2 linked regions of the Nothobranchius furzeri genome follow. The protein of the gene in region 1 purifies or fractionates together with the protein of each later gene. This does not show direct contact. Links are inferred from orthologs where the notes say so. Each region holds a gene or a part of one and is shown on either strand. Other genes may lie near its edges.

Region 1 (7,323 bases):
GTACTAGGACCTCTTCTCTTTGCCATATACACCACCTCACTGGGTGAGATCATTCGATCACATGGCTTCTCCTACCACTGCTATGCAGACGACACCCAGCTCTATCTGTCATTTCCACCGGACGACCACACTGTCTCTGCACGAATATCAAACTGTCTCTCTGACATCTCAAAATGGATGAAATCCCACCATCTCCAACTCAACCTCTCTAAAACTGAACTACTTGTCATCCCACCAAAACCATCCATACAACACAATATCTCAATCCAGAATGACTTCCTATCTCTGGCTCCTTCAAAGGCAGTTCGAAATCTGGGTGTTGTGATTGATGAACACCTGACCTTTAAAGATCATGTTGCCTCTGTTGCCCGTTCATGCCGCTTTGCGCTGTATAACATACGAAAGATCAGACCATACCTAACACAACATGCCACCCAGCTCCTGGTGCAATCTACTGTCATCTCCCGCCTCCATTACTGCAATGCCCTTCTAACTGGTCTTCCAGGCCTCTTCAAATGGTCCAGAACGCAGCGGCGCGTCTGGTCTTCAATCAGCCTAAAAGAGCACACGTCACCCCTCTGTTCATTGAGCTCCACTGGCTACCGCTAGCAGCACGCATCAAATTCAAATTGCTAACACTAGCATACAAAGTCCGAGATGGTACGGCTCCCATCTACCTGAATCCTCTTGCAAAGGCTTACGTCTCGGCCCGGCCGCTCCGGTCATCACAGGATGGTCGGCTAGCAGTGCCTACACCACGCTCAGGACAATCCAGACTCTTCTCATGCATCGTTCCACAAATGTGGAATGACCTTCCAAGCACTACCAGAACAGCGGCTTCCTTTTTGATTTTCAAGAAACTCCTGAAGACCCTGCTCTTCAGAGAGCATCTTCTAAACTAGCACCCCCCCTGCACCCGTCCCCCCTCTCTACTGTCCACTCCTTGTTCCCTCCTCTCCATGATTCATCATGCTGCCTCACTGCCACCTACGACTGACTGGAAATTGGTTATTGTTGTTAGCCTCAAGGGCAATATGCCGATTATTACTTGTAAGTCGCTTTGGACAAAAGCGTCTGCTAAATACATAAACATACGTTTTAAAATGTCAAAACTGAGTCAAAAGATGAAAAAAAACAACACTTTGTCTTTTAGCAAATGCTAAAATAACAACCATGTGTCTGTGTGGGTTTCCAGGTGTGTAAACAGTCTGTTGATGTTTTTTCCTCCTCTTATTTTTCTGGTTTTATATCTTTCTTTTATATTTCTGTGGGTATGCATGCCTGTAATTACCTGTATCTGGTACGTCTGAACTTCCTGAAAATAAAGGCCACTTCTATTCTATTCTAATGTGAATTTAATTTAGAAAGATCCAGTCATACTTTCTTGGTTTTTGGCACCAGCGCAGCAGGAAGTGATTGGGAAAGTTGACGGGCTCCAGCTGAACGCCCAGCTTCCGGGCCAGGGTCATGTAAAGAACAGAGAGGCTGATGGGAATGCCAGTATGCCGAAGGAGCACCTAAGTAAAAAGGAAGTGAAAATAGTTTTAAAATAAATGCATTATTGATAATTTAGTGAAAAACCTGTTTAAGGCTGACCTGATGGATGTAAGAATTGAGCGGGTTGTAATAGTCACACTCGTTGCCTTTGTACTGAAGCTGCTCATACAAGACCGAGTTCAGAGCAAACAGCACCTGCCTCTGGAGCTCAAAGTCCTCAATGACATGGTCACCTACAGCACACACAAGACTAAACTCTTAAAAGATGGCTCACACAAAAATCTGTGCAGATTCATGGCTGTTTCAGACTTTGCTGCAGGTGCAAACACAGGTCTTAATGTTTTAAATGTCTAGTTATGCAATAAACTTTCTGCAAAATAAATAAATAAATAAAAAATCTTTGAAAAAAGGCACATATATACAAAGAATAAATCTTTTCTTGTCCTATATTATCTTATAATCTCACCGTTGGCGATGCGAAGACTGGGATGAGATGGATTTTTGATTCTTAGCATCTTCTTTGCCTTTTCTATAATTTCATCTAATTGAACTGAAACACCATCCAGTGTGACGTCTGCCAGTGGGTTACAGTACTGATCCACCAGCACAGCACCTAAAGAGGCAAACAAAACAATCAAAAGTGGTAATAAAAAAGGAAAATGCCCGAACAATGTAACATATTTTCATTCCTTCTAAGCTTTTTTAAAATTATTTTCATATGGTAATTATTACTGCAGGATAATACATTCAGATCTCTGTAAAATAGATATTTATACTACAGACAAAAACAGGACACATGTGTGTAAAACAAGATGTAGCTGAGCTGAGCTGAGGTGCAGCAGAACCCAGCAAACGGTCAGTACTGATGGATCACCTTCCAGAGCTGATTGTTGCTCTGCAGGCTGCTCCAGAAAGGTCTTCAGACTCCTCAAGATGTTCTGCTGTCTCAGGAAGTAAAGGATTTTTCTTGCATAGTATTTCAGTGTCAAGCTTTTCCTAACAGACGGTGGAGAAAGAGACGGACTTTAATGATACAGAAAAGAGGGCGCAATGCAACAAAGGCTTTCATAGCCACACAAAACTGCTCTCACCTCTTGTCGGAGTTGAGTATGAAGAGGAGCTCATCTTCGCAGAAGTGCTCCGGCATCCCGAGTGATTCAATCTCTGCAAAGCTGTCTCCCAACACCTGGCCAACGCAAGGCTGAGTTACAGATCTCTGGGTTAGTTTGCAACATTTAAAAATACATGTTACTGCACAAGCATGCACCCACATACAGACTGGAGGCAACCAGGAACATCTGGATGTAATATATCACATCTTACAGAGTAATCTGATTAGAGTTAACCAAGTTCCAATGTAATGAGAAAACATATTACTTACAACTTCTGTGAAAAATCTTTTTGAAATCGACTCCACAGTCCTTCGTATCTGTATACCGACCCTGTGGCGTGTTTTGTACTCCCTTAGCCAGTCGCAGCTCTCGTTCTGACGGTAAAACCTCTGCAATCTCGGCCATCTGTTGATGCAAAGAGCAGATTTGTTATTTCAGAAACATGCAAGGGTGTTCTGAGAATCAGGCCACTTCCTGCCATAATCGGTGCATGCAGCGCTTTAAAACTGTCCGTCCTCCTGCTGTAGAAGCAGCTGCCTCCTTGCTGAGAGAAAAACCAAGCAGCCAGTGAATGAGCCTGTGCGGTTCCCAGAGATTCAAGGTCAAAGATGATGCTTCTTTTGAATACTCAAAGAAAAACACATTATATGTCACTAGCAAGCTTTATTCCATGTGTCATGGGTGTCTAGAGGGATGCCCGGTACCCGGATTAGCTCAAGGATAAATCTGGTGCATCAGCAGAATGTATTCGCTGACAGTTTCAGTTCGCAGGAAACGAGCTCATGTCAAGTAGGCATTAAAGGGCTTTAGAGCCCTAAACAGGACGGGTAAAATCAGTAACAACATTGTTATCTAACTAAATCCATAAAAAACCAACACAAACCAGAACTAGCATGGATTTTCACACAATCGGAGCACCTTAGTTTGTACTGGTGTTCCCAGACCTTTCCCCTTCCATGGCTAACGTCGTGCAGTCGTTTGCAGCAGCAGGAAACGTTACAAATGTCGACGTGTGTGAGGACAGGGAAGCACAAGATATGTTCAAGCAACTCGGTCGGCAAATATGTCAGTTTTTTAGTTTGGGGCTCGGAAATATTCCCGTTTAGAATCGGTTGCTCCTCTTGGGCTACAGACGTCGCCATTTTTACTGTTTACCCCATTACCTCATCGCTTAGGCACCGCCTCCTTATGGCGCAGGGGCTGGGCTAAGGGCGGGGCATCTGCCACAACCTGCAATATTATTGGTTGTTAAGTTAGAGAGAAAGGCGATGGTGGGACGCTCCTGCTGATGATGCATTCAATGTCCCTGGGAACTAAGCAATTCATTTTACAAAAAGCTGGGTAAACCTTTGACCTAATTTTTGTAAATGCAGAAAAACAAATTGTATCTATCTTATTATTTTCAAAATATACAGAGTAATTTAGGATAGAATGCCATACAATAAGTTAAAGGTAATTAACAAGTCATTGATCCATCCCTTAATTTAGGTGTATTTAGCCATGACGATTTGTAAGGACAATCTACTTACTCTAGAAAATGATCAGATAATTGAAAAACTATTTTAAAATCTGTCGAGCTCATTATAAAATGACAAACATTATAATTTATAATAGTGGCAACATTTTATACAACCTTTGAGAAAAGTTACAAACTCTGATCCCCAAAGTGAGTTTTAAACATTTACACACTTATTACTACATAATAGACAACACGTGAACGCAGCACAGTTTTGGTTAAGATAGCTACAAGTTGTTAGCCACAGGTCGCCTAGCTTTTCGCGTGAAGTCTGTGGATTGAAGGGTTAAACGTTTCTCATACACTTACATGTGTATTAGTAAGACCTTTCCTTTGGAGTCGTGTCAAATTAGAGACAGTCAGACATTTTATTTTGGAAGTGACTAACTTTAGTAAGCTAATTTACTTTTTACTCATCGTTAGCTACCAGCCCAGGACACTGCGGTCTTCTGCTAAACGTGTTTGTGAACGTCTGCTTTTGTTTCAACCAGGGAAAATACAATTAATTGTAAATAATAATGTAATGAGTCATTAGGAGAAGCTTAAAATATGTAGTGAGATATGACTACAGTTATTTAAATGTGCTGAAACGTCACATGCACATCTGTACTTATGTCCAGTAGTTCTCCCATCGCCTGTCTCAGCTTGTTAAGGAAACTGGGAGGAAAAATGTCTTGACCTTTCGGCTTAAAGGGGAGAATCGAAAGTACTTGATTTTGTTAAATCTGTGAACTTATTGCAATGGCAAGTGCCTTGGCAGCAAAAATGGGATTTAACTCCCTGCTGAGAAAACAAGCCAGGAACTTCAGAGTCAGGATCTGCACCATGGAGTCAGAGGAAGAGTTCAACTGCGAGGTAAGTTTAACACGTGCGAGCATATTTTCTGCCACCCTCAGTTAGAAACCCCGAATTGTGTTTCAGCTTTGTGTCTTTAACTGAGTCATTTGTTTACACATAACCACAGATACGACGCAGGAGAAATCTGGATGTTAAACCTGCAGTTCTCGCTCACTGACGCTAGATGGCAGCAAATAACAGAGCATCACCTGAACATGCTTTTAAAAAATGCTTTGTTTTTCTTCTTTTTTGTAGTATTATTAAAATATATCTGTAAATATAGGGTCATTTAGAAATTTATTAGATACATTTACTCCTTGTTTGTACATCTACTATATAGATGTGTTATGTGGTAGGACTGAGTGACTTGCAAGCACCATGTCTGTATTTAAAAGGGAGGAACCGCTCCTTGATTATCGCTTGGGTTTGGTAATTGCAAACAGCTTCATAATGTTAGTTACTGATTTCTATTTTCAGTGTTGGAAGGAGGATTTACTACTGGTTTAGTAAATAATATGTATTTATTTTTAAATGAAATGTGCTGCATGATTAAAAGCCAATTCAAATATAAAGTATTCAGTTTGTATGAGAGGATTCACCAACATTATTTCCTTGGACCTTTAACGTGGTTGCATTTATCATTTTTAATGGCCATTATTTATGATTAATGCATCTTTTAGGTCAAATGGAAAGGAAAAGACCTGTTTGACTTGGTGTGCAGGAGTCTAGGATTATGGGAAACGTGGTTCTTTGGCCTGCAGTACACAATAAAAGACACCGTGGCTTGGCTAAAGATGGAAAAGAAGGTCGATCCAGTGTTTTACTTGTCGTACAACATGAGTGAGCATTTCTTACATTTGCTAGAACCAAAACATTTATTGTGGAGAAACCTTTTCTTCACTGTTTCAGATTTTAGATCAGGAAGTGCCCAACGAGGAGCCCATCACGTTCTTCTTTCTGGTCAAGTTTTACCCTGAGAATATTGAGGAGGAGCTCGTACAAGAAATCACTCAGCGTCTCTTCTTCCTACAGGTAATGAAACATATTAATAAGGAATTGAATGGTGATAATTCATTTCAGTTCAATTCAAAAATACTTTATTGATTCCAGAGGGAAACTGATTGCTGTAGTAGCTCAGAATAATAATAATAATCAAGTCATCAAAGAGTTGTTGTATATTACAATGGCTGTTGGCAGGAAGGATCTGCAGTAGCGGTCAGTGTTGCAGCCAAACTGAAGAAGCCTCTGACTGAAGACACTCTTCCGTTGTCGGACAGTCTTGTGAAGAGAACGCTCAGGGTTGTCCATCATGTTCTTGATTCTCTGGAGAATCCTTCTTTGCATGATCTCCTCCAGCGGTTCCACAGTCGTCCCCAGAACAGAACCAGCCTTTGTTATTAGGCTGTTGAGCCTTTTCAGGTCCCTGCTTCTGATGCTGCTACCCCAACAGACGATGGCTGAAGAGATTACACTCTCAACAACAGACTTGTAGAAGATCTGCAGCATCTTGCTACAGACATTGAAGGACCTAAGCGTCCTCAAGAAGTGCAGTCTGCTGTGTCCCTTCTTGTAAACGGCTTCGCTGTTCTTTCTCCAGTCCAGTCTGTTGTCCAGGTGAACTCCAAGGTGTTTGTATTCCTCAGCCACCTCCACTTCTTCTCCCATGATGGAAACAGTGTTTGACTCCACCCTGTTTCTTCTGAAGTCTAAAATCATCTCCTTTGTTTTGTTCACGTTCAAGGTCAGATGATTGTTTCCACACCATGCCACAAAGCGCTCCACCAGCTCTCTGTACTCAGCTTCCTGTCCATCTCTGATACACCCAACAACTGCAGAGTCATCTGAGTGTTTCTGTAGATGACAGGTCTCTGATTTGTACTGGAAGTCTGAGGTGTACAGGGTGAAAAGGAATGGTGAGAGTACAGTCCCCTGTGGTGCTCCAATGTTACTGATCGCCTGGTTTGATGTGCAGTTCTTCAGCCTCACAAACTGTGGTCTGTTTGTCAGGTAGTCTTTAATCCAGGTGATAGTTGAGGCCCCCACCTGTGTCTTCTGGAGTTTCTGGCAAAGTACATCAGGCTGGATTGTGTTAAATGCACTGGAGAAATCAAAGAACATGACCCTCACAGTGCTGCCTGCTTTGTCCAGATGACCGTGGGTTGGTTGAAGCAGCTGGATGATGGCATCTTCAACTCCAACTCCATGGCGATAAGCAAACTGCAGCGGGTCCTGATATTTCCTAGTTTGCTTATTCAGGTGGACCAACAGGAGTCTCTCCAGGACCTTCATGATGGGGGATGTCAGGGCAACCGGTCTGTAGTCGTCATCATAGGCGTCATTTTAACCGGGGACGCCGGGGAC
Region 2 (7,087 bases), about 26 Mb from region 1:
CACTAGCTTAATCAGCTAATGTGCTCATCTAAAACTAGCCCCCTTTCACAACCAACTGAATGTGTACGGTTCCGCTTACGCCAACATTGTACACAAAAAATGCTGAACACTAACTGGAAATTCACGAAAATGTCATAGAAATGAAATAATCTAGTTTATTGGGTCTTTGGTAATTTAAGACCTTTGGAAACTGTATTTAAGGATCATTTGTCATTTTTAAGGATTTTCAAGGCCTTAAATTTGGAAAAGTAAATGTAAGACTTTTTAAGGACCTGCGGATACCCTGCATTATCCAAATCTGCTTCCACTTCATTAACAAGGAACTTTTTATACAACTTAAAATCAGCATCTGTCTCTTTTACTAGATGTTGCTAAGCAACATTTGTGTTTTTGGTGATCAAATCAGACCACAAAAAAGACAGAATTAGGGATGTCCCGATACGACACCGATTTCAATACGATACCAGCACAAATCATACTTTTACCTATTCCGTAGTGTGGAATGTATGAAAGGCTTGATGAAGTGATATTACTCAATCGGAGAACAAGAGCCAATAACAGTAAGTATGAAAAAAAATTTGACCCTTTTTTTAAACCACTGGTCGCAAAAATGTGAACCTTAACAAACTGCTTATATTGGAGATTTATGATGCAGTCCGATATAATCCAATAGTGTTTTTGGGCCGATAATGAATTGCTTCTGATATCGGAATGGGACATCCCTAGACAGAATACTAGTGATGCACCGATATCATATATCGGCGATATGAAATTTTTTGTGCCGATACCGATATTGGTCGATATCGATATACTGGCATTAATGCTTCTAAAATCAGCAGATTTTGTATAGAATGAAAATTATAAATTATTAAAGCTGGATTTACATTATTATGTACACACACCACACACATTTATGGTTCTGAAATGATTTCATTCACTGTTCACAAGACTAAATTACACATCACCCTCTGAAACAGGCAAACAAATGGGGACAAGATGGAAAAATATCGGTTGTTAATATTGGCCTGGTTTTCTTTATTGAACAGATATGTTAAAAAATAGCTAACATCAGCCGATACCGTTATATTGTCCATCCCTACAGAATACCCAATTACACAAAACTTGACAAAAAAAATTTTTTTTAAAATAATCATCAAACGAGGACGTTTGAAGTAACGGGTGTAAATAAAGATCTGGATCGGAGTTAAGAGAAAACAAGCACTTATATCGTTTGAAGAACATATTCATGGGGCTTTGGGACATTCTGACGTGTTTCTGTGTAACACATCAGTTTTTATCTTACTTCTTGTAGACAGCTTCCTGAAGAGCCTCAGTTTGAAGAAAGTGTTTACGTTTTAACTAATGATGTGCTAAAGCTAATCCAAACACAAGTGGATCGCTAACGTCTCCAAGCTCCTCTTATAAACTACATTTCAAATCAGTTCACATGAATAATTATAGCTGTACAATACAAAATAAGTTGCCTTTTTAAACACTTATTTTATTTATAGTAATGTTTACAGTGAGCGCATTTTAGGCTGAGTGTTATGGAGAGCTGCGGCGAAGAGGTCGGCTGCCAATCAGAATTTGTAGCAGAACTATAAACTATGTGTAATATTTGCAAAAACAACAACTTTTCTGGTTTTGCCTGACCCAAACTTCTAATAATGACCTAAAAACAGAGAGGACATTTTTTCCAGTTGATTCAACCTCAAGAGTTAAGAATTCTGCTGAGGGGTGAAAATCTGTTTAAGGGGTGCGGGAAAAGCATCAATTTCAATGTAGCTAACGCATTTAGCAGCAAAATAAGAATAATGTTTAATGAAACATATTTACCAGAATGAGTTCAAACAAGGTGCCTTGGTCCACTTTGAGGAACTCCTGGTCCCAGACGGGAATGTCGTCCGTCCTTTTCTCTTTGTTCTCATCATCCTCGGGAGGAGGAGGATCATCTTTGTGATGAGTGCACCACTGAATCACCTAAAGGGGAAAACATGTTTATTCTTAACTGAAACTACATAATTTTATACATTCGTGTTAAGATTTACGCAGACAGAAACATGTGCACAACATTCCCCCGTGATGAAGGAATTTTGAGATCTTCTGCTGAGGTGCATCTACACGTACAGTTTTACCTTTATCTGGATTAAAGGAGCGTGTCAGTTGATTTGGCAGGACAGAACATAACAAAGACAGACTGAGCATCCTCTTAATAAGTTATATAGGGCTGCCATGATTAGTCGACTCGTCACAACATCAACAAACAAAATACTCGACTACTAATTTAATAGTGGATGCATTATTTATTCTGTGACCATTAATTTTAATCTCGCCTGCTGCGGCACATTCGGCGGTTGCTTCCTGACTTTCTGCTCAATGCACATGCGCATTAGTCCCCATCCGGGTCAGTGGCTGTTTTCAGCTCCGAGGCGCATTCGCAGTAGTGGCCATCCAGATCAGCCTTCGTCACCGGAGAAAGAAGACATAGCGAGTCGGCAACATAGCTCAAAAGTTTTGGAGTATTATACATAGACTAAGGAAAGCACATAGTGCAAACTCTGCAAAGGGAAACTCTCCTTTCACGGGAGCACATCGGCGATGCATGAGCACCTTACAAGGAAGCACGTCATGGCAGAGAATAAAGAGTCGCCTCTCTAAGTTTACCTCTTTAGCTGCTAGCATCAACAGAGAGTTACTTGTAGTTATAGGTGTAGCAACAGCAGTAGCGGTGGCTATTTTTATTACCATTAGATCACGTTTGTATGTCACGTATTTTTGCTCCAATTACAAACGATAATGATTTCATCCCGCTACGCTACAGTGTTAATAAAAATGCTCCTCTTCAATGGACGAGTTGGTTACGTGAACACCTCAGCAAGCTAACGTCCTGACCATGTTGGTCATGAGACTCCTGTCCATGGTCGGTGATCGAGGTTTCAAAAAGATGATCAAGGATACCACGACAACTACCTACCAGGCTGATGCCCATTCACCAGCATGATGGAAAAGAAATACGAAACAACCTTTAAGGTGTGCGCGCGTGTTCAAGTCTTAGTCTCTTTCTCTCTGGACACAAATAATTATTGGAATTTAATGTGTTTTATGATCAAATAAAAAGGTTGCTGACTGAGCAATCAGGAACCTAATATTGGTGCATAATACAGTTTACATGTGTTGAATTTTAATCTACTTTGTTTTATAACAGAATTATTAATTTGGTAAATAAACTAAATTTAATATCTTTACAATAAAGCAGACCCTCAAAGCTGTCGATGATCCCCTGACTGCTGACGGGTGTACCAGCCATGCTACAGAGGCGCACCTTGATGTGCCCTGCTATTTCCTGAGTTAAGATTAGAATACATTTTGCGAACACAAGTAATTTTTTGTAGACAATTTATTTTTGGTTTTAGGTGCCTACCTCCATTTGACTGTAGCATTTGTATTAATAAGTTATGAAGTTAATTAAAAGTTTATTATTAGATGGCACATAACGGATTAAACTTCAAACTAGAAGCTAATGATGGGTATATTAGAGCAGCCTGGTGCAATAACCTATAGTTTTTTTTTTGAATGACACGATTAGTCAACTATTGCGGTATACCCAACTGTCACGGTGAAATCCAGAAATCAAATAAAAACCAATCACTTTTCTCCCATCGACTGATGTGAAACAAATCTGATGACTCTGCTGTTGTCATTGTGACAGCTGTGCGTTCTGTACCTTCTTCAGGATAGCCGCGTTCACATTAGGAAGGGGAACTGGGTCATCATCTCCTTCATCGTCCATTCCCAAGTCTGACCACACACACAAAAAAAAAAAACGTTAAAATTCAGCCTCAACCCAAACGATCTTTACTGTTAATTAAAAAAACTGATAACTCTTTTTACGTCAGTTATAAACTCACAAAATCAAGTTTGAACGTTTGAAATGAACAGAACATTTTACCTTCCAACATGGTCTTGATGGTGACGGATTGTTTGGCTATCTCAACGTCTACCTCGAAAATTTCCCCATCAGAACTCTGTAGTTTTATCGTGGGCATTTTCTGGAATGAACAATAATATTCATTCAGTGCATTTACTGCTAATTTTGCGACAATAGCAGACGTAATCCGCGACGAATTGTCTCAATTACCAAACTAAGCTAGCAAACAACAAGCTAACGAAAAGCTAACATACAATTAGCTCTTTGTATAAACAAAAGCTATTGATTTGATAAATAATACCTATCATAAGACTTGCCAGATGCACTTGTGTGTTCATACTGAATAAATACCACCTGTTGTAAATCTAATTTATTTGAGAAGCGCTAATGCCCAAGCTAACGATGACACAAGCTACAAGACGGAAATGCTAAAGTTAGCTAGTTTCCGTGTGCTTAAAAGAAAAATACATTGAAAGATGTTCGCTATTACAAATAATGGTAAACAAATACATGTTAATCACAGGCGAGACAATCAATTGTGTCTAAAATGTATGTCACAAAGCTTAAATCTTGACTCTTCGTTTCGCCAGCTCTTTGCTGTCAGCTAGGCCTCTTTGCTACATCATCGAGGCGTTTCAAATTGACGCATAAACCTGACGTGAAAATCTATTTAAACCTAACTTTATCAGGTCACCAGAACATGAAGCTACATACCGTGATTATTTAACAAAAACTCAAAGGTTATATATCCTTAGGAGTCCGTTGGAAGGCCTAGACTTTAAGTGACGAACAGCGGCTAAAAGCCTCTGGATCAACCTTTTCCGCTGTATGGCAATCCGTTGTAACATATAATCATGTTAATGCCCTACAATTTTTTTATTTGTTCTAAACAAAACAGCATTTTCATTAATTACATTTAAAATGTCTGTACAAGTTAAACCGTGATATTATTTAATTCTTGCAGAATACATTATAAAGTAAGGTGATCAAAACGTGCCAAACATAAGCTATTAAACGTAAATACGTATATGTCGATGGTAAATACCAGTTGTCTTGTCCCACAGTGTATATTTAGTAAGGTAGATACTTAACAACACTTAAAAGCAAGCAAGTGCCGATTTCCTTTAAACAACCCCAGTACAATTCCGATTTTATATGATAAATTGGCTTCCCTTAACAACATGTGCTAATGAAGGGAGCACAGCAGGGCCGAGCTCAAATCGTGGCGGTGGCTACCAGTCAGCATCGCTTCTTGTTTACCTAGCTCAGATTTTATTTTGATTGTCTCATCTCGAACCACTTTGATTTTAAATCAGAATTTGTGTTATAAAAAGACAAATACTTTGTCTACATGGAACAAATAAGCTCTTTTGTGATAACAGTGACTTGTCTTGTGCTATTCTATTTTTTTTAATAAAAATAAAATGATCACTTTCTATGTGTATCTTTCATTATAAATCTCTCTGTCAGTGTACCAATAACAATTTAAAGTACATGACTCCTTTTGACAACAGACTACACAAATCATTCATTTATTGTATATGGCATGGTGGTGCGGTAAGAAAAATTTATGTCATATATCAAATACAAAATAATATTTAAAAATATTAAATTTAAATATATTTATTTTTGAAAATGTGTAAGTCTAATTTATTAGTTACACTTTGTGAAGAGATAACAGGAAGCACTAGGGTCAGTGCCTGCGATTGTCTATGTGTGGTGTCGTGCCTATTCACAACCACAGGGTGGCGTATTTCCCCTTTTTTCCGGCAGATGCGACTTGTTTCCAGCAGGATCCAGGCTGGCTTAGATTGCTCTGGAAAAACTTAATAAAATTGCATTTATGCGCCTTTTATTTGAAATAACACAATTCTCAACATTAAGTTTGCTTGTTTTGGGCAATTGATACTTCTGTTCTCAATACAATCTAATATTATGGAGCACAATAATTTAAATTCACATTTAAATAAATGTATTTTTTATGTCTTCGCCTTGCTGTGTCAGTGTAATTACAACTGGCCAGAGAAATCCAAATATAACTAGACTTTTTACAAGAATGAAGAATAACCAAAAACACAATTCAAGAAGTCATCTTTATTATTCTAGTAGGTTATTATAGAGTCTGAAGCTAAAAGGAAGCAGGTGAGTTGATGAACACTCCATCTTTTCTATAAACCAAGCCATCTGACTGCATGAGAAGGGATTTTCCTAAAACATACACAGGTCAAAAAAAACTGAAGGTTTACATGCAATTTAAAAATAAACAACAAAAAAACTATCAATATCGTGAAATCGTATTAATCTTTTTGACATATTTAACATTTCTTTAACTGTACAAAAGTGCAAACAAATCACATTCAAATCTCAAAAACCATGGTCTGCAGTAGCAAATTAGTCTTGGACTTTGGTGCCGTCAACCCAGCTCCATATGTACAGGAGGAGGAGCCGAGACATCCAGGATGTTCTATTTTGTCATTTCAGATACAATAAATATTTAAGTGATCATGGCACACACCTTTTGGTCCGTTTATAGACACATTTGCTTTTGCGAAATGCTTTAACTAGATTGGATAAACACAACGTGCAACACTGCAGCCTCTCAGGCCTCCATCACGTTGTTTTCAGTTCAAAGTCAGATAGGTTGGTGGTTCTGGACAGGACCGGACCGGACCGTGCGCGGGTCGAGACTGCAGGTTTACAAGAAGTAGTCTGGGGTGCGGCGAGTTACATGGGGCTCTCCTCTGCGAGGCGCTGGATCAAACTGCAAGCTGAGGAGGAACATCAGGAAGAAAAAAAATCACAACTTATTCTAAGATTTCTTTGTCCACTCGTGATGAAATTCGCCTGCTTACAAAGAGTATTTGAGGGTGTCGTCTAGCTCCATGATGGCTGCCTGGTTTCCACAGCGATAGCAGTAGTTAGGAGCACTAAAAATGGTCACCACGTTCCTCTCATGGCACCAGTTGTAGCCCTGAGGTAAGCAGATGTAATATTAACACGCATCTGAACTTAGCGGCACTGCTTCTTTGTTTTTAATCATCTTTGGACACAAAGACAAACCTCCATGACCAGCTGATGGGCGCGGGACACCAGCGTGAGGCGGTTGGCGTGGTTGAACGTTTCAGAGATGTCCTGACCAAATGTGTAGCCAGCTCCTCG

The links.
Region 2: the proteins of fbxo21 (region 1) and skp1 purify together in Homo sapiens (affinity purification with mass spectrometry; 6 studies listed by BioGRID and IntAct, with this or other methods). This does not show direct contact. The link is inferred for Nothobranchius furzeri from reciprocal best matches to the Homo sapiens genes FBXO21 and SKP1.

What each region holds. Positions count from the first base shown.
Region 1 is NC_091750.1:34,028,736-34,036,058, reverse strand, and holds the start of fbxo21 (F-box only protein 21), read right to left. Parts: upstream 3,797-7,323; 5' UTR 3,752-3,796; coding exon 3,528-3,751; intron 3,015-3,527; coding exon 2,879-3,014; intron 2,699-2,878; coding exon 2,589-2,698; intron 2,494-2,588; coding exon 2,372-2,493; intron 2,111-2,371; coding exon 1,964-2,110; intron 1,731-1,963; coding exon 1,597-1,730; intron 1,518-1,596; coding exon 1,381-1,517; intron 1-1,380. Other genes in the region: nf2a (NF2, moesin-ezrin-radixin like (MERLIN) tumor suppressor a), read left to right, coding at 4,867-4,980, 5,643-5,768, 5,872-5,994. UniProt on the Homo sapiens protein: Substrate-recognition component of the SCF (SKP1-CUL1-F-box protein)-type E3 ubiquitin ligase complex.
Region 2 is NC_091750.1:60,007,602-60,014,688, forward strand, and holds the start of skp1 (S-phase kinase-associated protein 1), read right to left. Parts: upstream 4,788-7,087; 5' UTR 4,643-4,787; intron 4,050-4,642; 5' UTR 4,047-4,049; coding exon 3,950-4,046; intron 3,799-3,949; coding exon 3,725-3,798; intron 1,981-3,724; coding exon 1,837-1,980; intron 1-1,836. Other genes in the region: ppp2cab (serine/threonine-protein phosphatase 2A catalytic subunit alpha isoform), read right to left, coding at 6,624-6,696, 6,781-6,899, 6,989-7,087. UniProt on the Homo sapiens protein: Essential component of the SCF (SKP1-CUL1-F-box protein) ubiquitin ligase complex, which mediates the ubiquitination of proteins involved in cell cycle progression, signal transduction and transcription.